2 linked regions of the Alligator mississippiensis genome follow. The protein of the gene in region 1 purifies or fractionates together with the protein of each later gene. This does not show direct contact. Links are inferred from orthologs where the notes say so. Each region holds a gene or a part of one and is shown on either strand. Other genes may lie near its edges. The genes, in order: TGOLN2 and GALNT2.

The links.
Region 2: the proteins of TGOLN2 (region 1) and GALNT2 purify together in Homo sapiens (affinity purification with mass spectrometry; 3 studies listed by BioGRID and IntAct, counting the BioPlex papers as one, with this or other methods). This does not show direct contact. The link is inferred for Alligator mississippiensis from reciprocal best matches to the Homo sapiens genes TGOLN2 and GALNT2.

Annotation. Positions count from the first base shown.
Region 1 is NC_081830.1:10,982,405-10,993,065, forward strand, and holds the start of TGOLN2 (trans-Golgi network integral membrane protein 2), read left to right. Parts: upstream 1-6,033; 5' UTR 6,034-6,110; coding exon 6,111-6,204; intron 6,205-6,424; coding exon 6,425-7,242; intron 7,243-8,864; coding exon 8,865-8,948; intron 8,949-9,334; coding exon 9,335-9,340; 3' UTR 9,341-10,661. UniProt on the Homo sapiens protein: May be involved in regulating membrane traffic to and from trans-Golgi network.
Region 2 is NC_081824.1:148,732,388-148,743,920, forward strand, and holds the start of GALNT2 (polypeptide N-acetylgalactosaminyltransferase 2), read right to left. Parts: upstream 4,491-11,533; 5' UTR 4,399-4,490; coding exon 4,282-4,398; intron 1-4,281. UniProt on the Homo sapiens protein: Catalyzes the initial reaction in O-linked oligosaccharide biosynthesis, the transfer of an N-acetyl-D-galactosamine residue to a serine or threonine residue on the protein receptor.

The sequences.
Region 1 (10,661 bases):
GTAAACTCCACAACTCATGGAGACCCACCAGCGGGGGAGTGCAGGGGAGAAGCATGCAGTTTCACCCACCAAGCAGGTATGTGTCAGGCTATCTGTTCCTGTCTCTCAAGGAGGGTGCTGCTTGCCAACCCTGTATTTGGTCAGCACAGGCCTGTGAGGTGGGTGGCACCATGCCTTTGTTTACCAGGGGCCCCCACATTGGTTCAACCCAGCCCTGAACTCAGTAGGAAGTTCCTTCCCAAACAAGACAGTCTTTTAAAGAGCTTTTTGTTTTCAGAGAAACCGTTTCCTTGCTGCTGGGAGAAGCCAAGAACTCCCTGGAGGTTTGGACAGGTCTTAATGTGTCAATTGATGATGCCCCGACAGTGCATCATGCAGGATCCGTGCACTAGAGGGGTAGCATGGTGCTAGAACACCCGTCTGCTGCAACACGGTCCTTTGCGGAGGCACGGGCCAGCTTTCTCTGTGCAAAGGCTGTCCTGAGGAAGAGATTTTCAGCGGGGAGAGTGGGGGTCACGTGCAGCCTCTCTCTTCCCCACCCCAGGATCAGCCTGTAGACAAATAACTCCTTGAATTGGATTTCATGGGAAATTAAAGGCATGAAGAGACCTGTCAGAATAATTAAAGCCTGAACTGGAGCCAGACAGCTTCAAACAGATGTTGGCTTTCAGCAGGAGAGGATTTCTTTGTTTTACTCGGCATTTTCCCATACAGAAAAGGAACATCTGTTGCGATGCTTTGCCGCGCTCCTGAGCAGAGCTAGACGTGGATTATATCCCACTACCAGAGAGGCAACTGGCCCACCCGATCCAACAGTCGCTACTGCCCGGGGTGCTCCCCTCTGCTTCCCGTCGTGCTGCTGGCAAAGAGAGCAGGAGCCTGCTCCATGGTGGGACTGCTCCATTCACAAAGGAATACACTCATGCTGGCAGGGTCTGTGAGTCCTTCGTGCATTGGAGCTGATTGAAAGTTTGCCCCCCAGAGGCCAGGCTGGAAGTTTGCCCCCCAGATCAAAAGTTTGCTTTTGTTTTCAGCCCAAGACTGATTTTTTGCATGTGTTCCCCTTTCTCCCGACAAATGTGGGCTTTCCTGCAGAAAACCGAACATCCAAAATGTTGTGTGAGGTGCAAGGGCTATTATGCCGCATGGGGGAATAGCATGGGAGTATTTTCTCCGCAGGCCAGATGTCCTAGATTTCCCACCGGGCAACAAGACTGTGGTCTACACTTCTTCCCCTATAGTCTACACTTCTTCCAACCTTGTCTGATGCATTGTTGGAAAACTTGTCCAAGCAGGAAGGAGACTCTGGCCAGAGAGACCTGAGCAATGGTTCCCAGGAAAGACTGCAGCAGCATTTCCAACTAAGAACACATTTAGGTGTACAAACCTCTGCACAGCCCAACACCCACATATGTGACAGTAAAGACATGCTACCACTGACTCCAAAGAGGCTCCACACAGGGGCTGTGAATGACACATGCAGGTCACTTCCCTTGACTTCTCCAAATCCTGCCCAGACCTTTTCGGAAGAGGGTCAGTGGCACCCTGTCTTCTTGCAGAGGGATCGGTAGAGGGGGTTTCTTGCAGAGCTGGGGGCTGGGAGGACACCCAGTCATCGAGTGGGTATTCCCTGGCAGTCTGGGAAGGAGCTTGTCTCCCCAGGAGCTGGGTGTCTCCACCCTGCCTCTGCTGTGCATCTGCTCTGCTGGCATTGCAGGAGAGAGAAGGCAGGTGTCTGGTAAGCACCTGGTTTTGGTTAAATTCCCTGGGTCTAATTGTGCTATTTTTGTCTAGGAACATGCTTTTCTCACAGCCCTGCAGGCAGTCTACTGAGCTGCAAAGCTAAACTGAATCATGTCTCATTTTTCAAGGAGACAAAGCATTCAAGGGCTGGCACAATAACCGTGCAGGGGCTCCAGAGACACAGCTTGAGAACGGGATTTCTTGTCCCCTTCGATGCCCAGGATGGAGTGTGGCCCAACAGGGGGACAAGCAGCTGCCCAGCTAGACGGACCCTCTGCAGAGAACTCCTGGAACAGACATGGGGACTCTGAGGTGGAGACCCCAGCCCAGCCTGAGATGCAGCCTCAGGTACACCCCCAAACCTTGAAGAAAGAGGCTGTTTCAAAGATGTTGAGTATCTGCTGCTCCCACTGGGAATTGATGGCACTCAGCACTGCTAAAGCAAGTTCACCAACAGAGGTAGGGCCTTACCTTTTGCCACCCAAGTGAAATTGGTGACCTGAGTGTCTTAGGTCAGCACAGTCTGGTCACCTGGTGCTGGCTCTGCCTTCTCATTTCCACACTCCAAAAAGATCCTAACAAAGCATTAGAGCTGGCTCTGGTATTCGGTACCTGTGTAAGCCAAGGCTGTAGCTGCCTCCTGAGAGGTTCAGTAGCACGGAGTGGTCATGGTGGTGGGAGGACATGGTGCCAGAGTGATGGGGAATGGGAAGGACAGTGCACGAGGTCATTGCCATCTAAAAACAGCTTCTGAGGGCACACGTGCAGACACACACACTGCCCATGTGCACACATGCTCTTCCCTGTCTCTGCCCATGGCCCCCATAGGAAGCCCTTAGCATTAGTGGCTGGAGAGCAGGTCGGCTTGGCTTGGGGTGATATCCCCAGGGCCTTGGGGTCGTTGGCTGCCAAACCCAGACCTTGGCTCAGTAAAGTTCCCACGTCCGCTCTGGAAAGGACCTTGTGGAGGGGCAGAAGGCGGCAGAGAGCTGGTCAGCCCAGCTGACACTGGGAGTAGCTAGGATCTCACTTGTCTTCTCTGCCTTCAGAGCAGGGGTTCTTCTATCACCTCTTTTCTGTTGGCTCGTGGCAGCCATCTTGATCCAACCTCCCCCCACCCCGACCACCCTCGCTTCCCCCCACCACAACACTTCTTTCCCTCTGCCGCTCAGGCTATGCATTAATTGAAATGCCTAATGAGGTCCCAGGGGGCTCCCGCAGAGACGGAGCTAATTAGGGGCGAACCCAACTAACGGTGGGAAGTGAAACAGAGGCTCCTGTGAACCTGCCTTTTGTGAGCGGCTACGGGGGAGGAAGGCACCAGATGTCCTGCTTCCTCACTCTGTGCGCCAGGGACGAGCCAGCGCTTCCCGGGCCCCAGCTCGCTTGCCAAAGCAGCTGGTGCAGAGGCAGAGGCTACACTTAATACATGTTAATTAGCATCATTAAATTCTTCCATTTGCTAATTGTTTCTCCTTTTGATCCTTTATTCTGACCAGATTAGCCCTGGGGTGAAGGAACAGTGTGGAAGGGGGTTGGGGGGATATACTCACTGACAGGGTGAAGACTTCTTCATTCTCTCATAAGGGGTCTTAGACCAGGACCCTCAGCTTTGAAGGGCCCAGCAACTTGCTAGCCACTCGCCGGGCAGCCCTCAGCTCTGCTTCTGTCCACAGGGCCCTTGGGTTTCACCAGTCCCGGGGAAGGAGTTGTCTCAGCTTGAAGGACCACCAGGAAAATTCATGGGGAGAAGGGAAATTATGTGAGGACAAGTATTCAGAGTGGTCAGACTGCCAGGGATGGAGAGCAACCTCCTCCACTGGCCACCACCCTCTCGTGCCATGTGAGGAAGCAGCACCCCTTGGATAATATCACGGCACTCTGCATGTCTGGGATATCTGAGCGCTGTCCTCCGCTCTGCCGCTGCCCTGGGCATGTCACTTAGGCCTGGATTCTCCGAGGTGTTGATGTGCTTAAATAGGAGTCTGTGCTGAAAAGTCAGTAAGTGCCAACCCAAGGCCCTGGGAGCATGGCTCTCCTCTCAGCAGAAGCTGCCCTGATTCTTGTTGCTTTCCAGCTACCATTACCGGTCTGGTTAGATCAGTGAGGCCCCATGTCATGGAGGAGGTAACTAACAGAAGCAAAGCATAAGCTAAAGCCACCATCTGCCTGCTGTCCCCTTGCCTCCAGTCCCTGCTAGTGGTTTTTTGTACAAACGCTCTTCGGTGCACACACAATACTAGTCTTTCACCTCCTCTGCAAGGCAGAGCTGTTCCATGGCAGGCTGCCTTGGTACAGAAATTGCCACCAGCATCAAAGGCTTCCAGAAAAGACCCATACCTCAGCCACTTGCAGGGACTGGAGGCAAGGGGCCCAATTGCAGCATCACTTGAGCCATAGCTTTGTCGGCAACAGAATTCCCCCAACGTAGCTGAGATCAGAACTTAACCTTGCAAGTACTGATCTTCTCAGCTGAGTGAAGGACCGCGATTTCTAATCTGAAAAATAGCTAGCTAGATAGTGCCTTTCGGTCTTAGTGCTTCTGGACCTGTTGAGGGTCAAGTTAGCCTTGTCTTGTTAGCCTCCAGGCCTCCCTTGGGAAAGGCCAGCTCTTAGCTTTTTACTCAGTATCTGCTGATAGAAACACACCAGAGCAATTCTTCTGGTGGAAAGAGCTCAGAAAGCCCATGACTTGGCAGCACGGTTTGGGCATTTTAGATGCCTTTTTGATACCTCTGGGTTAATCATATGTAGATATCAGTGCAGCTACTGGTGCTAATAGTGTGGGGCACCCCCGTAAGGCTCACATTGCACCGAGTGAAGGTCACTGGTCTGCTTCTTAGTTATTCCAGTGCAGCTCCATTGATTTGGGCCCTGGATCTTCACGCTCTTCCAGGAAGTGAGCCCATCTGCTGAAACAGCCCATGATTATTTTCAGGGAATAGTTTGATTTTTGGAAAAAGCTTGGCAGGACTGTTACGTCTGATCGTGGTGCCCTGCCTTAGGATGGTAATAACGATTGAGCATCTGGAAAACCCACCACAGCAAGAGACTAATCTGTGTAAAAGAGAAGGTTACGAGAGTGAATTGGCCACAGGTTAGGAGCCAAAAATGTTCCAATTTGGGGGGTTTTGTGTGTGGAGGTCTTCTGTGCCTCCGGTGGAGGGTGATGGAGCCTGACTAGACCGCTTACAAGAACAGAAGAGGTCAGACAGCGGCTGGGACCAACCGTGTCTCACCCAGCACAGCCAGCTGGGGGCTTTCAGCTCTGCTGGAGCCAAGTTGGGCTTTGAAGGCAAAAGGGCGGATTCCACATCCCCGCAGCGTGGGCTGCCGTCAGCCGGGCCCTGGGCGAGATCCTCTTCTCAGCCTCACGGCGATAAAGGTGAACCTGCCTCCGGCAGGGGTTGGACTAGACGGTCTGCAAGTCCCCTTGCAGCCTGGCCTCTGCCATGATCCTATGAAAGACGGGGAAGGCTCGGTGGCACAGCTCTCAACTTGCATTGGTGTCACTGACAATAGTTTCCCTTCCTCGGGTGTTTAAAACCTCCCTCAGAGCTACTCCAGCCAGCCCTTTCTCTGAGTCTACAGGGGCTGTAGAGTCTGACCCGTCCGTGCCGGGGCTGTGGAGCTGTTCCTGGCTACAGGACAGCAAAGATAGGAGAAGTGAACAGGCTCCCTGGGATCCCGGCCCTTCTTGGCCAGGCGACAGTCGCTGGTTGCCTGGTGCCCGATCCACCACGTCTCGGAAAAAGATGCGCGAGGCTCCAGTGTCTGCTGTTGCCGGTGGAGGCCGGAGCCTCCCGGGAGTCGGCAGCACGGGGGTTTGCGTCGCCAGAGCCGGGCGCTGACCAGAGCACGAGCTGCCGCCCCGGGAACACGCGGCTGTTTCCAACCGGGGGGCCTCGCCCGGGCCCGGGCGGAGGAGCCGGGTCAGCTCTTCTGCGCGAGGCCGCCAGGCCCAGCGGCAAAGGCTCCTTGTGCAGGGAAAGGAAGGAGAGCCGCGCCCGAGGTGGCAACAGCGGGCCTTGCAGCAGGGCCGCCCAGGGGGCGCAGGCCCGTCCAGCTCAGCCGCGCGGCCAGGACTGTGCGCCAGGCGGCGCCCTTGCTCAGCTGTGGGCGCTGCGCCCCGCCCCCAGCCCCAATCATTGGATGCCAGCCCCGCCGCTCAGGGAAGCCACGTCCTCCTCCGGGCAGCCCCGCCTCCGCCACTTCCCATTGGCTGCGCGCCGCCGCAAGCCCCGCCCACGCGCTCCATAGACCTTCCCCCCGCGCCCGTTCGCTTTTCGGGTCTCGCGAGATTTTGCCAGCGGAAGTGTGTGCGGGTGATTCTAGTTTCCCGGAAGCGGAACGAAAGGCCGGTCTCTATGGCGGCGGCGCGGGGCTGGGTGCTGGCGGCGCTGCCGCTGCTGCTGGTCCTGGCGGTGCAAGGTCAGGAGGAGAAGAGCGACCCCGACATGGGTGTGGGCTGCTCCTGCGGGCTGCGCCGGGGGCCTGGGTGGGAGGAAAGGGGTTGGAGGGTTAAGGGGACGGGAAGGGGCTGGGGGTGAAAGGGGGTGGGGGTCTTGGGGCCTGCGACCTCTGCCCCTAAGGGCTGTTGTGGCTGCTGGGGGCAGGTGGGTTGGGCAGTGATCTCCCTGGATGGGTGCTCACAGTTGTTGTGCCTCTGCTCTTCCAACAGTTGTACAGCCAGACCTGTCTGCATCTGTGTCCAATCAGCTGCCCCTACAGGGCAAGAAAAATGAGTCATTATCATCCAAAACGACCCCTCAGCCCGCCCAGACCTCCTCCGAGCCACCGGTGGTGACTGCCACTGTCGAGCACACCCCCAAGTCTGTGGCCCCCGGTGGGCCGGCCCCCAAGGGCGACAAGGAGCCTGTGGCCCCCGGTGGGCCGGCCCCCAAGGGCGACAAGGAGCCTGTGGCCCCCGGTGGGCCGGCCCCCAAGGGCGACAAGGAGCCTGTGGCCCCCGGTGGGCCGGCCCCCAAGGGCGACAAGGAGCCTGTGGCCCCCGGTGGGCCGGCCCCCAAGGGCGACAAGGAGCCTGTGGCCCCCGGTGGGCCGGCCCCCAAGGGCGACAAGGAGCCTGTGGCCCCCGGTGGGCCGGCCCCCAAGGGCGACAAGGAGCCTGTGGCCCCCGGTGGGCCGGCCCCCAAGGGCGACAAGGAGCCTGTGGCCCCCGGTGGGCCGGCCCCCAAGGGCGACAAGGAGCCTGTGGCCCCTGTTGAGCCCACCCCCAAGGGCGATGAGCAATCTTCAGACCCTGCTGAGTCTGTCCCTAATCCACACCTGCCCAGGAAGCTGTCTCCCACGGAGGAGCTGGAGGAACCAGAGGAGGATGGAAAGATTGACAAAATCTCTCCTCCCAGCGGGGAGAAGAAGGACAGTGTCCCCATTGCCCCCAAAGACCCGTCTGAGAGCAGCCACTTCTTCGCTTACCTGGTGACCACAGCCATTATCGTCGCTGTCTTGTACATTGCCTATCACAACAAACGGAAGGTGAGATCTTTGGCCCACCAAAAATACAGAGCTGGCTTCATCTCTTCTCTCTTGAGGCTTGTTCAGTGCAGGGATCTGGAGGGCCTGTGTTTTGATCTTTGGATCGGTGCAGCTCCTGGCTGGGACCTGTGTCTCTGGACATTCTTGCCTGATCCCAGTTATGTGTGTGTTTTGGATGCACATGTGTTACGTATGGTAGTGTAAGAGTGATGTAGCCATGATGGTCCAGGTGTTAGGCAAGAGGCAGGGATTTCTTAGGGCACTGTTTTTTATCGGACCAGCTGTGTAGCTGGGGTAGAGTTAGACACGCTTCTGGATTCCAGACCTTCTTTAGATCTGACCAGAACAAATCTGCTAGTTCTTGATTGTGTGAGGTAAAGTCTAGAATATCTATCAAAATTTTCCAAAGTGTGTTACTGCTTTGGGATTGTCTGGTGCGGGGAAGGAACTCTTCAGTAAACTGGTCTGTCTTGATTTCTCTGCCTGGCTTTAGCTTCTTGATGTGCTTGGAAAGGTGAAAACCATTGACTTGTGGCTTTGACTAGCTCTACAGTCCTTGTCCGAGCTGCTGTGAGGTGAGCAATGAGGAAGTTGTGCCTGGGGAAGTGTTTTAGACACCTGTGAAAATTGCATGGCTTCAGCTAGGAGGCTTAGTGCTGGGGAGGCGGGAAACAAGGTGGGGTAACTGCTAAGATGTTTTATGTATTCACCTACTCCTTCATAGTAGGTGAAAGTTCCTCTTGGGTGCTGAGAATTTGCCAAGTGGTGACCTGCAGTATGGTGCTTTCGGGTGCACAAGGCAAGTGAAAGAGTTAGACGAGCCAAAGGTAATTGCTTGTTGGGTTGCTGTAAAGAGACCTTTACCCATGTTTAACTTTCAACTAGCAACTTGATCAGTGCAGAACAGGGGTGCCTGCCTCTTCGTGTCGCATGTGCATTTGATCCTGAGACTCTAGGTCAAAGATAAAGACTCGAAGGGATATTATATAGTTGATGGGTTGTCCTGGGTTAGGTGTGGACTGTCTGTTTACCCTTGGCAAAGTAAGAGAAACAAACTAACTAGATTTTTTTTTTTTTTAATATGCTTGAGGTGCTTGCTGTTGCTGTTTGGATCTGTGATGTTTGGTGCCTTGCGGTGACAACAGCAGCATCTTCCTAGTCCTTTCCTATACTAGCGTACCATGCTATTTTGGATTTGTTAGGAAATAATCATTTGGAAGGAATATGGGTGAAAGGAAGAAGCTGAATTTATAATGATCCTTCCTATAGACGCGCATCTTTTCTTGAGGTAGTGTCATTCTGGAGAAGCCACATGGTAATTTCTGCATGATGGCAAGACTTCACTGATAGTTCCTTATGCTCTTAATTGTCTGTGAAGTTTACTTGGAGACTGCGTTTCTTTGGGAGCTAGAAGAATACCGAAGAAACTAGTCTTTGCCTCTGATAGAATGGTTTGCTGCCTCACCCATGGAAGATAGAAGTGTCTCTTCAAAGTGGAGAAAATAATTGCTTACACTGTGCTGTTATGGGTGTTTTTTTGTTGTGGTCAGCCCCCATCAGTTAATCTGTTGCCCACTGATGGATTTATCCTTTTGGGTGTGTTTCTCTCCCTCTCTCTCAAGATCATTGCTTTTGCTCTGGAAGGAAAAAGATCCAAAATAGCCCGACGCCCCAAATCCGGTGATTATCAGAGACTGGATCAAAAGGTAAGCCTCAGTTGGCCTCCACTTCTTAACGCAGAGGCGAGTAAAATACGGCCTGCAGGTCATATTCAGCCCACCAGGCCATTCTATCCAGCCCATGGGGCCCCTAGAAAATTAATATTTATATGCCCTTGGCTCCTGTCAAAGATGACAGGAACCAGGGGCAGTAGGACCCAGGGTAAGGCATGGCAGGATCCTGCAACAGCAGGGCCCACCTGGTCCCACCCCCCAGGTGGAAGCCTCTGCTAACAGGGTAAGTTCAGGCAAGCAGTGGGGGCGGAGGGGGAGGATTGCAGGGCTAGCATGTTGTGCCATGTTCTTTACAATGCGAGAGGCTGTTCTATGCTCACAAGCAACTGATTGACATTTTCTTCCCTTTCTGTTTGCAGATATAAATCTGTTCCCTTGGAAATTCTGCATGTTGCTGGGCTGAGCAAGGATGCCAGAATGCAATGGCCAAGGAAGTGCTGCAACTCCCAGCAGCAAGGCTCCAGCCCTCCCAGCCACACTGCCATGTCTTGATCTCAGAGGGGGGTGGGGGGAGCAGGGAAAGTGCTTTTAGTTTTTTGCACCTGCACTTTGGTCATGTTAATGCTTCACTCTCCATCTTTTTGGATTCCCCTCCCTTCCCCTGCGCGCGCGCCCCTCCCCCCCCCCCCCCCCCCCCCCCCCCCCTTCCCCTTCACAGCTGCCTGAAACTGAGCTAGTTTTCCAGCTCTGGTTTCTTGCTTCCATTCTGTGACAAAGGGAAAAACCAAGGGAAGATGCAGCAAAGGACAGAATTTCTTTTGCACCTATACAATGTGGAATTGACTTCCTACTGTATGGACACAAAGGTCTCTGGCAGAGGCCTGCCTGCTGAATGAGCCATCTCAGTCTCCCTCTTCTTGGTCCATGGCGCTGTCTTTTGTACCGGCATGGTTGGTCTTGACAAATGAACATTATCCCCTTGTGTCCAATGTGGGTGGACGCTAAAATTCCTAGCCTAATTGCACTAGTTCCAAAAATGTTTGCCAAGGACTCTTTTGTCTGATTGGTCTCTTGATTCTCTGTGAGGACGACAGGGGTGGGGATAACATGATTGTCTTCGTACCCATGTTTGAGGTAACGGTGGAGTCAGCGCCTCATGCCTCTTTTGACCCCTTTTGGGGTTTTTTCCTGTCTTCAGCTTTCCTGATGGTATTTCTCCTCCTGGGCTCCCCAAAGCTCAGGAGACTGCACTGAAGACAAAGCGTTGAGGTGGGATGTGGTTAGGGAATGCCACAGATGCATGCATAGCTTGGTGCCAAATCTCCTTAGCAAGGTTTTACTCAGCTTTGTCTCTGCATGTCAATGCCTGCCTCTGAAATGTCACTTGAATGTAAGGGTTATGTGGACTCAAGTAGCTTCAGTGCTGGCAAGTAGCTGATACGCCTTTCCTGAAAGAGCGGGGTCCGAGCCCTGAATTTCCAGCCTGGGTTGTTCTAGTTGGCACTGGGTGGACTCGTATTGATCAGAGCTCAGCATAGTGAGATTGGTGTGAATTGAATGTCTGTGTGCAGGGTCTAGCTTTCAGTGTTTCTCCATTCAAGCACAGAACAGATGTTGAGAGGATGGGGTTGGTGGATGGCTGCTGACCATGGATGCATTGCACATGCATTTTGTGCATGCAAGTAGTAGTGTTGGAACTTGACTCCCTTAGGCAGGTGACTGAACTGTTGGTTGCTGTAGGAGGTC
Region 2 (11,533 bases), on another chromosome or scaffold:
GATTAGATTCTACACAAAGACAGGTGGTGCCTCCTTTTATCCAGTAGTTCAGTGAATGCAAGAGGCCTAAATTCAATTTCTTCCTCTGCCTTAGGACGGGAACGTAAAAATCGCTCAGCTCCCAGAAGAGTAACTTCACTATCAAGCTGTTCTGTGGTGGGGGAGGTTCTTAATCTCTCCTATTAAAGTCATTCCACATTTCATCAAATAATTAAAGATTCATTGGGCCAGAAAGAAAGAGAGAGAAAAAAAAACAGGATTTTATTGCCTGTTGGGTAGAGACCTGGATTCCAGTGCTTGCTCCAAACTGTTAGTTGTAAAGTATGTAAACAGTCAAATGGAACAGAAACCAAAACCCATGTTTCCCTCCCCAGACGAATGCTGTAACTACTAGGCCAGAGCCATGCTTGCATTTTCTGAACCTTTCAAGCTGCTCCAGTTTGCATGGAACAGCTTTAAATGAAAGGACAGATGGGCCCTCACCCAGTTTATAATCTGGGGCTGAAAACTTTCTCCTGGGGGGGGGAAGAGCTTTGAGTTTGAAAACCCCCAGGCAGGAGGGACTTGAACTTAAGTCTCTGACTTCATGCTGATTGTTTTAACCATGGAGCTATTGTGTAAAGAGAGCCAGGACCTCCTCTGGTGGTGTTCTGAATGACAGGCCTAAATCCTGTTTTTAAAAGAAAAAATGTTTGTGCATCCAGTTCAGGAGCAGGTTCAGATTTGTGAAACCCAAGTGGAGGGAGGCAGCCCAGAATTAGACCTAACCCCAACAAGGGATGAGATTTAAGATACAGCATTCACTGGTTACCAAAAAAATCAAACTGAGCAAAGCACGTTAGATTCTAATAGCCAGCAATTCTATTAAGTGGCAGTAAAGAAAAACGCCCAAGCAGAGTCTTGTCAAGAAACTGCACGGTTTCCAAAGCTTGTTGTATTTTACTCATTGAGACTAACAGCCAGACAGAGGGGGAGGGGAAACCTTATTCAGCATAAATTATGGATCAAGATTTTTACTCCAATATTAAGTTGGCTGATTTTATAGAGAGAGATGCTAATAAGCATCAGGAAAAAAAACAACCAAACAAACAAAAAACCCAAAATCACACAGAACCAGGCTTTGGGGGTTTTGATTATATTCTCTGACTGATTCCATTAAGCAAGATCCTAGCAACCAGTAGACACTGTATACCAATGTCCTTGGCATGTATTTACTAGCTTACATGGCTCCCACTCAGCAGACTGTTTTTTTCTAATTCCCATTCTGAGCTGCCCAACTCCTCCCATATGTTGGGAGCCTAAGCATCTAATACAGGACTGTGGATTGCACTACAATAGCAAGCTGCCTAAAGGTTGGGAGCTCCAGCACTCAGCATCAGCCTCATCCGTTTGTAGACTTAAATTCAAAAGGCTGAAAGCGGAGAACCCAAGGGACAAAAATACATATCAGTGCCAGACAACTCGAATAAGGGAGAAACACTACAGCCTTGTTCCCCAGCACGGGGCCCAAATTTGCACAGAAGTTGGCACCTACTAAAGTTAATGGAAACTAACAAAATCAACCAACAAGCAGGACTGGAAGCTATACCAGGAAAAACAAACAAACAAACAAAAAAACCCCCAGAAAATCTGGACTATGCCCTGAAGTGGTACATGACATCATCCTGATAGAAGCACGTGTTCTTTGTATAACCAGGCCTATGCAATTAAGAACTCTGTTTTCAAAATTTTTGACCGAACAAACCAAAGACTTAGGTCTACTAAAACCTATACTCAGGTGACTCTTGTGCACTTTTGCTGGACAAAAATACTTGAGAAGTAACAAAGAGTACAAGTCATGTATGCCATGATATGCAGTATAGCAAAACTTTCATTCATAAAGCTAAGACAGTTTGTGTTTTTACTTCATATCAGGGTTTGACACACTAAATTACTGAATCTTTTACTCGGCTTTTAAAAGCTATTGTACATACACATTTCCTTATTTATCTTCACTAAATGATTCCAAAGATTGGGATAAAATTTTGTTTCAGTGAGAGAAAACAGAGTACTAAATCACCAATGCAAGTATAATTGTTAATATCACTACTTGTTTCTTATGGTCAAAGTACCCATTTCCTCACTGATAGGCCATTACTTTAGACGGTTACACTATCGTCTCATACTAAACCTCTGGCTATGTTGCTGAAACCCCTCTCAGTCTTTAATTCCTCTTGCTCAAACTCCTAATTGTTCTGACCTGTACAGTTTAGAAAATTTTGTATAGAACAACAACTGATTTTCAAGTGTTGAGACAAGACTCACCCCCCGCCCATCCCTGTCAGTAATACCATTCTTACACAGCAGTGTGATGCTGTCCCAGATCAGTGCCCAGAGCTCTCATAAAACCTAGGTTTTTCTTCCTGCTCTGCTACTGGACTGGACTGGATTGCTGGGTAACTTTGGGCAAGTCATTTTGCTTATACCTTAGGTTTCCCCCAACGATAAAATGAGATTTCAGATGATAAAACCAACTTCCTAAGTAAAGCGTATCAAGATCCAACTGATAAAAAGTATTATAATTGCTAAGCATCAAAATAATTTTTCTTTGTACAAGCTTCCCAAGAACAAAAATTTTTGTCCTGGCTAACCTTCTCTTACCTCATTATATATCAGCTGTTCGAGTCAGTTTTTACATACAAAATACAGTAGTGTGATCTCCAAAGCTCAGTAAGACCAAAGTCTTAATTGCATCTCATGCCAGACCCATTTCTGATAAACGCACAACATCCACTTAAAAATGAGTTTGACGTTTAACTAAACAGTAAGCGTGTAACAGTCAATGCAATGCTTTCCTCCAAGTTGATGTACAGCATATTCCTTTCAAAATGTGAAAGATGAAGCACAGCAAAGCACTGAGCCATTTGCAAACTGATACAGAGCTCAGTTCTACAGACTTTTATTGATGGAAATATCCCTGCTTACAACAAGGACTGACTACAGGGTCTGGTCCTCAAAACACTTCCCGAATACACCTGTATTTCTAGGAACTGAACTGAAAAATGGCAATAAAATCCCATCTTACTATGTCAAGGCACATTAAGATTCAGCCCCCAAATAGATACCAATTCTTTAGTGAAACAATATTACTGAAGTTATCTCATCCTTCGCACCACCAAACCCTCCCTCTCCATTTTGGAGGTACACAAGAGGAATTACAAGCCAATGAACATTTAAACCCTTTCACTACACCAAAGGCACAATGTTTAGAGTCAAAGCTTTCTAGCGTCCCTGGCCTTAAAATTAAACCCTGCAGGGTTACAAGGGCCTGCTAATTTACCTCTCCAAAAATTAAACGTGTTGTTTTAAAAAGTCACAAGAAAAACCTACAGGATGACCCAGGGACGACCACATGCTCAGCCATAGCAGGACAATACTATGCATCTTTGGGGTTGGCCAAGCGCCCCCATGCACCAAAAGGCTCCTTCTAGACATCTGTGCCGATAGGAAAGGGTTTCTGCACCAGACTACCAGAGCCCCACAAGGGAAGGCAGAGGGGCCCCAGCTGCAAGGAAAGCCCCATCCCAGCGGTTCCCAATCTGTGGTACGGGTACCACCAGGGGTACACAGACAACCTGTCAGTGGTGCGTGTTGACAGATTTATTATAATTACTTGATATGACAACAATTTCCAAGTGGTGCTGCAGGTTGAACTAAAAAACGTGCTGGCGGTACTTCAGGGTGAACCGTTTTAAACGGACAGTGCACAATGTGTCCGAGTTTGGGAACCACTCGCTGCCCGTCCTATCCCTGGTGCTACAAGCCCCTCAGAGGTGTGTGGCCGCGCTGCAAGTAGAAGCCGGGGAGCAGCCGAGTGGCACCGAGAGCCCCGCGGGGTCTGGCAGGCAGCTGGGAGCCGGGGTCTTGCCCCAAGGTAAAGCCCGTGGGGGCGCTCTCTGGGTGGACAAATTGGGGGGGAGGATTAGAGGAGCTTTCCGCAGCTGCCCACAAGAGACAGAGCAGCGCGGCGGCAGGGAGACGGGGGCGCTGTCCTCGCTGCGCTCCGCTGAGGTGCCTCAGCCCGCCCCGGGCAGGCGGCGCCCTCCCCGCGGCGGGACGTGGCCGAGGCTGAAGTCTGCTCCTGCCCTCGCCTCCACGTCACGGGGCAAGAAGCAACGGCGGAGGGGAAAGTCCCGGCGGTGACGTGGGGGGAGCTCGGACACACACCGGGGGGAAGGGGGGTAACCCGGGGCAACGCGAGGGGAGGGGCGGCACGCGGAGGGGTTGGGGAGGGGGTCTCACCTTCCTGCCGCCGCCCGCGCCGGCTACGGCGGCGCCGCCCCCCGAGTACATGTAGTAGGCGATGCCCAGCACCCAGAGGAAGGCGAAGCAGAGCAGCAGCCGCGACCTGCGCCGCATCCTCCTCCTCCTCCTCCTTCTTCCGCCCCGTGCAGCAGCAGCCGCCGCGAGCACCACCAGGAAACGGCCAGCAGCAACCGCCGCCGCCGCGCAGGGTCAGGGGGCAGAGGGCGAACGCCCGCCCCCCTCCGCCAATCGCCAACCGCCAGGGGCGGGGCGGGGCGGAGCCAGCGGCGTCGCCATGGTTGCAGCACGCCGGGCCCGCGGCAGGAGGGGCGCGTGGCAGGGGCTGCCCCGCCCCCTCCCGCCTGCGCGCGGCGTTCTATGGGGCGGGGCCACTCCCTGCGTGGGGTTCCAGCCGCCCCGCCCCCGGGAGTAGGCCCTGGGCACGGATCCTGGCAGTCCTCGTGTGGACGCGGTGCTCGCCCCGAGGGAGGCGCTGCCCGTGCCTGCTCCCAGTCATAGCCCGATGCCGCCATTGGAATGAAACAGATGAGAGCTCTCTGCCCCCCAGGACAGCCCCAGTCTTCCTGCGCCGTGCAGGGGAAGAAAGAGCACCGGGTGCTCCAGTGGGTTGCCTGTCCCTTTGCTGCCAGGTGCTGTGATGGTTGCATAGACAGCTCGCTGTCCCTGCGGGTCCTTGCTGTTCACATGAGCCCCCTCAGCTCTGCTCCTGCCTTTAGCGAGCTGGTCTGCCTTTCAGCCCCCTCTTCGTGAGCTCTGCTCAGTGGTCCTGCATCATCCAAGAGACCTGGATGCGGAGCAACACTGGCCTCTTCTCAGGCAACTCCAATCTATATCTGACCCCTTGCTTTTGCTTGGGAGTGATGCTCCTCCTTCCTGCCTAAAGTTTGGCACCTCAATCCAGCTGTTGTGGTTGTCCCACACCCTGAATATGGGGCAATCCCAGTGTGAATCGGGAAGGTTGTCCACTAGCTCCTCAGCCAGTGCCCATGTGCCGCCAGGCCACTCTCAGCACTGCCACGTGTGGGGGGAAATCCTCTTAATCTCTCTCCAAGAACATCAGAGTGCCTCATTCCTTACCCTCCTGCTAGTCTAGGGTCAGGCTCTAAGGTTTCTTGAAGGAGCCCTAAATGAGGGTCACCATATATGTGAGGGTCGCATATTTTTTTGACCCAACCCATGACTGTGGAGGTTAGGGAACCTCCCCCTCCCGTGTTTCAGTAGCTTATGCACAAAATACTAAGGCCTAAGCGTGTTCTGCTGAACAGTCTTCTGAAATCTATCTGCCAGCTCTGCTTGGACTTCACATAGCAGATGTATGTGACTCAACATTTTAGTGAGTCTGTGTGATCTGAACAAGACTTGGCATCGCAGGGCCAGCAGTAGGATGTTGACTGTCTGTCTGCCTTGGACTCAGCCCATGTCCGTGGCTATTATCTGTCCCAATTCACAGCAGAACCGGTAATGCTTACCAACCTGTTCTGAAGCTCATGAACCCAAGTCCTCAGAGGGTCCAGGACAGGCACCCAGGGTCATTTCCCTGGGTAATCAGCCATGCCTGCCAAACATAACGGAGCAAAGCATGTGTAGAGCCGTGTATTGTGTTGTTCTACACACAGGCCAGTTCAGACAGGTTATATCAGTCTCCATGTCAAGTCTTTTCCAGCGTCCTGAGTCTCATTGGTTCATTCATAGAGCTCATTCATAGAGCTGTCCTTACCTTGTGTCCTTAGCTTCCATCCATTCTTGTGGATGGAAGTCTGCTGTCCTTAGCTTGTGGCTACTATAACCGAAAACACATTCCTTGTACACAACTCAGAAGGTGTTTTTTGATCAGGGAGCACCTTGAAAGAAGAGGCAATGGGTTGCACAAAGCAGTGCCAGAAGGCTTCCACGATCACTGACTACAATCTCCCAATGCTCTGTAGCCAACAATATTGTGCCAGTGTGTCTAATCTGGCAGAATAGATGTGTTACAGGAGGTTCTCTGTAAAAACGATGAAGTGGGCAACTGCAAGATAGCCCTTAAGCCTCCCATTATGGCCTAGACCAGAAGGATTTGTAGCATTCCTCATTTTATTCTGACCTTTGTTCCTCATAATCTTCAGCTGACACCCAGGATCATCACCCTTTCCCATCTACCCTGGTCTTGGGAGAATGCAGCACCCAACCCTTGACTGCTAGTATCTACACACAGCATGAAGGAGAGAGTATAATCTCGGTATGCTGGTACAGCACTAGCACCCTCACCCTAGCAGGTTGAGACCCTATCTACATGAAAAAAAATGTATTAATTTAACTACAATGTAATTTATTTAGTTAAAACAGTGTAAATCCCTGCAGAGTCACTCCTATTTTGCATTCACAGATGTGTATGAATTAAATTTCAGTCTGTAAGACATCTTCATGCACTCCAACTTTAGAAGTTAAATCCCTCAAGAAAAGGCCTGGTAATTGTGGTGTTTAAAAAGAGCTCCAGGGAACTCTACCTAACTCTACCTAGATTCTCCCACAAGGGTCAGTGACTCATGGAAGAATCCACACATCTACATTGCTTTGTTGCTTTTGGGACACTTCTTCCTGACTGTATTCTCTTCCCTTTATTGTTGGGGCCCCTGTTTAGTTTGACCCCATCCCCAAACAATGCAAGAGAGGTGCCACACATACAGCCTCAGCTCTAACTGGGGTCAACTGATTATCTCCAGCTGGTCAGCTGCTGGCCTTTTGGCATGCCACTAGTCTTCTGTTGGCCAGCTCTGGGCACCTTCTTCTAGAGTAAGAAGACATTAAACAAAAATAGGAAACTAAAGAGGACACAAAAACTTTCCATAACAATTAAGCTGAGTGTGTGCTTCAGCATCACAATGTGCAATTTAGGCAGAACATTCCTCAGCTCAAATTCAAAACCATTTGATGAATGCCCATTCTGACTGTCCCATATTTCTCTGTTCCTTCTGTCAACTGATGTCAGACCATCAGCCTCTGCCAACCCCCATGCCCTTCTGCCACTCCATCTGCACCAAGGGCTGTAGTATCAGCAGTCAGTCTCCAGGAGGCTCAACTCCAGGCAGCATAGGGATGTGGCAGGGGACCAAGCATTAGGATTGGCAGAAATTTAGTCAAATTAGCAGGAAAAGAAACAGTAGCTAATAGAAAAGAAGTTGAGAAATCTGGCCTTACTGTTCTCCCAGAACAGAGACTAATAGCTGCTTTGTTGACAGTCTCATCAAAGAAGCTGAAGACTGAACAGGCATGGAAGATGACAGGTGATCCTTTTATGTCAAAATTGACACTGCCTGTGCTGTACTTCTTCAGCGTCTGAAGATTTCAGTGAAAGGATGCATTCCTTTCCACCTGTCAAGCCCTGAATGAAGGAATGCAATGTGTTACAAAGACAGTTTGTGGAGCACAATTATTAATTCTGGAAATTTAAACAGGTGTAAAAAGTTGTGGCCCTTTAGTATGAATGATTCTTTCTTGAAGCTCAATTTCTTTCTTTCTTAAAGCTTTCTTTCTTTCAAAATTTTTGGTTTTGGAGACAAATGGTTTCCAATCACAAAACTGAGGGACATGCCCAGCTTTAACTTTTCAGATAAAATGTCTGACAGCACTTGGAATGAGGAAGAGAGCCATAGGGAGATTTTAGATCAAATTTTCATCTCCTCCCTTATCCTTTCCCAACCCTGCCCCCAAGATATGTCAGATACATCTAAGGAGAAGGCAGAAGGAAGGGCAGTCATTCAGCCCTACCTTCTGCTTGACCAGACTAACACAGCTAATTTCTCTATGAAAAATCCTTCAAATGAGCTGTTTGAACCCCATCCAGTACCAGGACCAGTTCTTCACTGGTCTGGGTCTTGGCATAGCTTAGAGCAGCTCTCATCTGTTGGCTGGGAGTGAGATAAAGTAAGAGCTCCTTTCCAGTGAAGCATTCCTTCACCAGACACATCTACAAGGTTTTGAGTGAGGGAACACATGCACAAAAAAATTAGCAGGCTCAATAACACAGTACTATTGATTAAATAATTTTATACAGAAAGCATTGCACAGGAGGCTCATCCCCACAAGCTAACGTGCAGTTAGCAGCCCCTCAAAGCGATTTCAGGGGCTACAAACCATACACTGTGCACATACACTCATGCATCACATTGCTAAATGCAGCGCAGTGGTGTTTTTTGACACTGGGGGATCCCTGCAGCTAAAAAAGTGGTGCAGCAAATGTGGCAGCAGTGTGCATTGCCAGAAACTGGAGCCTTGCCAGCCAGAGCCATGCTGGCTGCCAGCCAGGCTCCAAGTGGCTGGCTTCATACCGCTGCTTCCCCAGGAGGCCCCCAAGCTCCAGATAAGGCTGATGGGCCCAGCACAGGTACTGGTGCGGATGCGCTCTGGGTGTTGAAAATGTTAATTTCTGCAGCCTTCCCTAATCCCACTTACATATTACAAAGTCTTTAGGAACTGAGTAACAAGCTCCTACACACCTTACAAAATCTACCATGTACCCCTTTCAGACTCTAAAGATCTTCAGTCAGATCTTCAAGTACCTTCCTGACATTCACCGATTCCTAGCAAGACTCCTAACTAGACTTTTCACTTCAAAGCAAAATTAGCCACCCAGGCATGCAAAGCAAATTATTCCATAGCTGCAAATTTTACAGGCTTAGTAAAATAATCCACTACACATACTCCATCACAGTTTTCAAAGGTTTACAACTAAGCCAAATTAAAACTAATTTCCTCTTGAACAAGCAAAAGCACTTCTGCTTAAAGAAGGTTACTTCCATGCCAGGTTTCACTTTTCAACCTTCTGCTCATTAGGTTGTAGGAATGTTCATGAAAGATTGCATTAAATTATTTTAAAATAGGACTTTTGGTTCATTCCTGATATTCCAAAATGATTGTGCAAGCTTTGCTCAAGCATTCTCAAAATATTCACTAGAGGCCACATCCAGAAATTTTATCCTGACATGGAAACGTTAAGCACACGCATAAGTTCTGTGGGAAAATCCAGGGGGTTGTTTGATGTTTCTTCATTACACAATGGTAATAAGGAGAAATGGACTATCTCCTCAATCAAAGATGTTGGAGTCAACATGACCGTTTCAATTTTGCTTAGGTGCCAAGAGTTATGTCAGTTCAATTTTTCAGCCAAGTTTCTGATGATACCCAGAGTAGGCAAGTACCCTGGCAGTGGCATTCTTGGCTTCCAGAAACCCTTTTTACCCTCATGTTGTTAAAATCACCAGTAACAAATACTGCACCATGTACGTTTTAGCTGATGCGCCTGCCCACAGATTATTCTATGCAGGGCTTGGATACATTCAAACAATTTAGCCTCAAAGCTCTTTTACCCCAGACTGTTTCTAGGTAAATGTTAATGTTGATGGTGCTACATTGTCAGTTACAAAGTGTAAGGCAACTACTACTTCTGAAAGTAGGTTTTCATGCTGTTGCTCCTGTAAGGATCAGCTCACTAGGTCCTGAAATATTGGCATTTCAGCTCTATATTTTGTCACCAAAGTTTAGGATAGCTGCACTAGAGTTTGTGCTTTGCAAGATAAATTATCAGACCCTCTCCCATGCCCCTTTCCATTTGATAAAGTATAGCAGCAAGCATTCTTTGCATACGCTCATTTTTATGCACAGAGGAAACAGACCCTTCCCCCTCATAGCTGGTGATAATAAACAAAGAACACCTTGGCCCCTGATGGCTGACTTCATAAACACTTCCTTCAGTGACGGGCACATTTCCAGCCACCTTGACAACATGTAACAGTCCAGCCAATTCTGCAGAAACCTGTGCCAGCTATTTCCCTGCTTCCAACGTACCCTTCCTGAGCGAAACTGTAGTGCCTAAACTCCAGCAGATTATACTTGTTTGCCATATTCTGGACCCTGACAAGATTTCAGCCTGAGACATGATACAGAAACAGCTCTCTTAGAAAAGAAATGATGGAAGAAGAGAGATTCAGTCTTTGGGGGTTTACTGAAACAATGATCTCACCTTTGAGAGTATCTGATCGCTAACACCGAATCTGTGTGAATCATAGGTGGAGGAAGAAAATATTATTGGGGATGGGGCTGAGCACACACCCACACACACCACGCACACACACACACATGCACACACCATGCACACACACACCCACACACACTTCAGCAGGTAAGTCTCTGGAGGGGAAGTGGTAGAGGAGAGGGAAGGGACGTCTGTGAGGCAGATGGAGTGAGGGAGGGAGTGGAGCAGAGGCAGGAGCAGGAGCGAATGGGACCCTGGGGTGGGTGGTGGGATGGGCAGAGTCTGGGTGTTTTGTCTAGGGGCGCGGGGAGGCTCCTGCAGCTGCGTGCACTATGGGGAGCATGTGTCCCGTGGATTTGTGCATGGGGCAGAAGCAGGCTACTGCTGTGGGCTGGGCTCTGCGCCCTGCTGATGTCGCCTCAAGAGCCGCATGATGCCATGTGCATCCTGTGGCCAGGCTGCACCACATCCCCTGCCTGCCTGGTGGTGGCACGCACGTGGGGCTGTGCGGGTCTCAAGCAGTGGGACTCAGTGCCCAGCCCATAGCAGCAGCCCACCTCCACCCCATGCTCAAATCCAGGGGATATGTTCCTCCTGTGACTCCTCCAGGGTGCACACAGTGACAGAGCCCCCTCCCCCCCACCCCCCGCCTGCACCCCTGGACAAGCCACCCAGGCTCCACCCATCCCACCACCCAACCTGGAGCCCCATTCACCCCAGCCCCTGCTCCTGCCCCTGCCCCTGCCCCTGTCCCTGCCTCTGCCCCACTCCCTCCCTCACTTGGGGGCCTTGACCTGGCCCTGGCCCTGGCCCTGGCCCCCTCCCCTTCCCCTTCACAGATTTTCCTGTGGTGCTGGGCAGTGCTTCGCACACCACTGGGCTGCAATCCTGACTGTGTGCACAGTCTGCACATCTAAGTCTGTGTACACCCCTCCCCACCTTGCGGCCCTCTGCACTGCCATCGCTGCCCCATGGTTGGGGGTGTTAAGCCCTGTTAGCCCCGTTAGCCCCACCTTTCTGCCTCCCATGGCCTGAAACCTTAGGGTAATGTTGGACTTCACAGCTTCTAGGCTGTATATTTTTCAATAATGACAAAATAATTTTCCACCATCTTTGATGCGGTGGAAGAATTCACGCCTTCTTCTCAGAAAAGGCTATACTACTATGATCCCTAGCCCAGATAAGTGCAAATTATTCTTACCTGGGATTGGGCAGCAG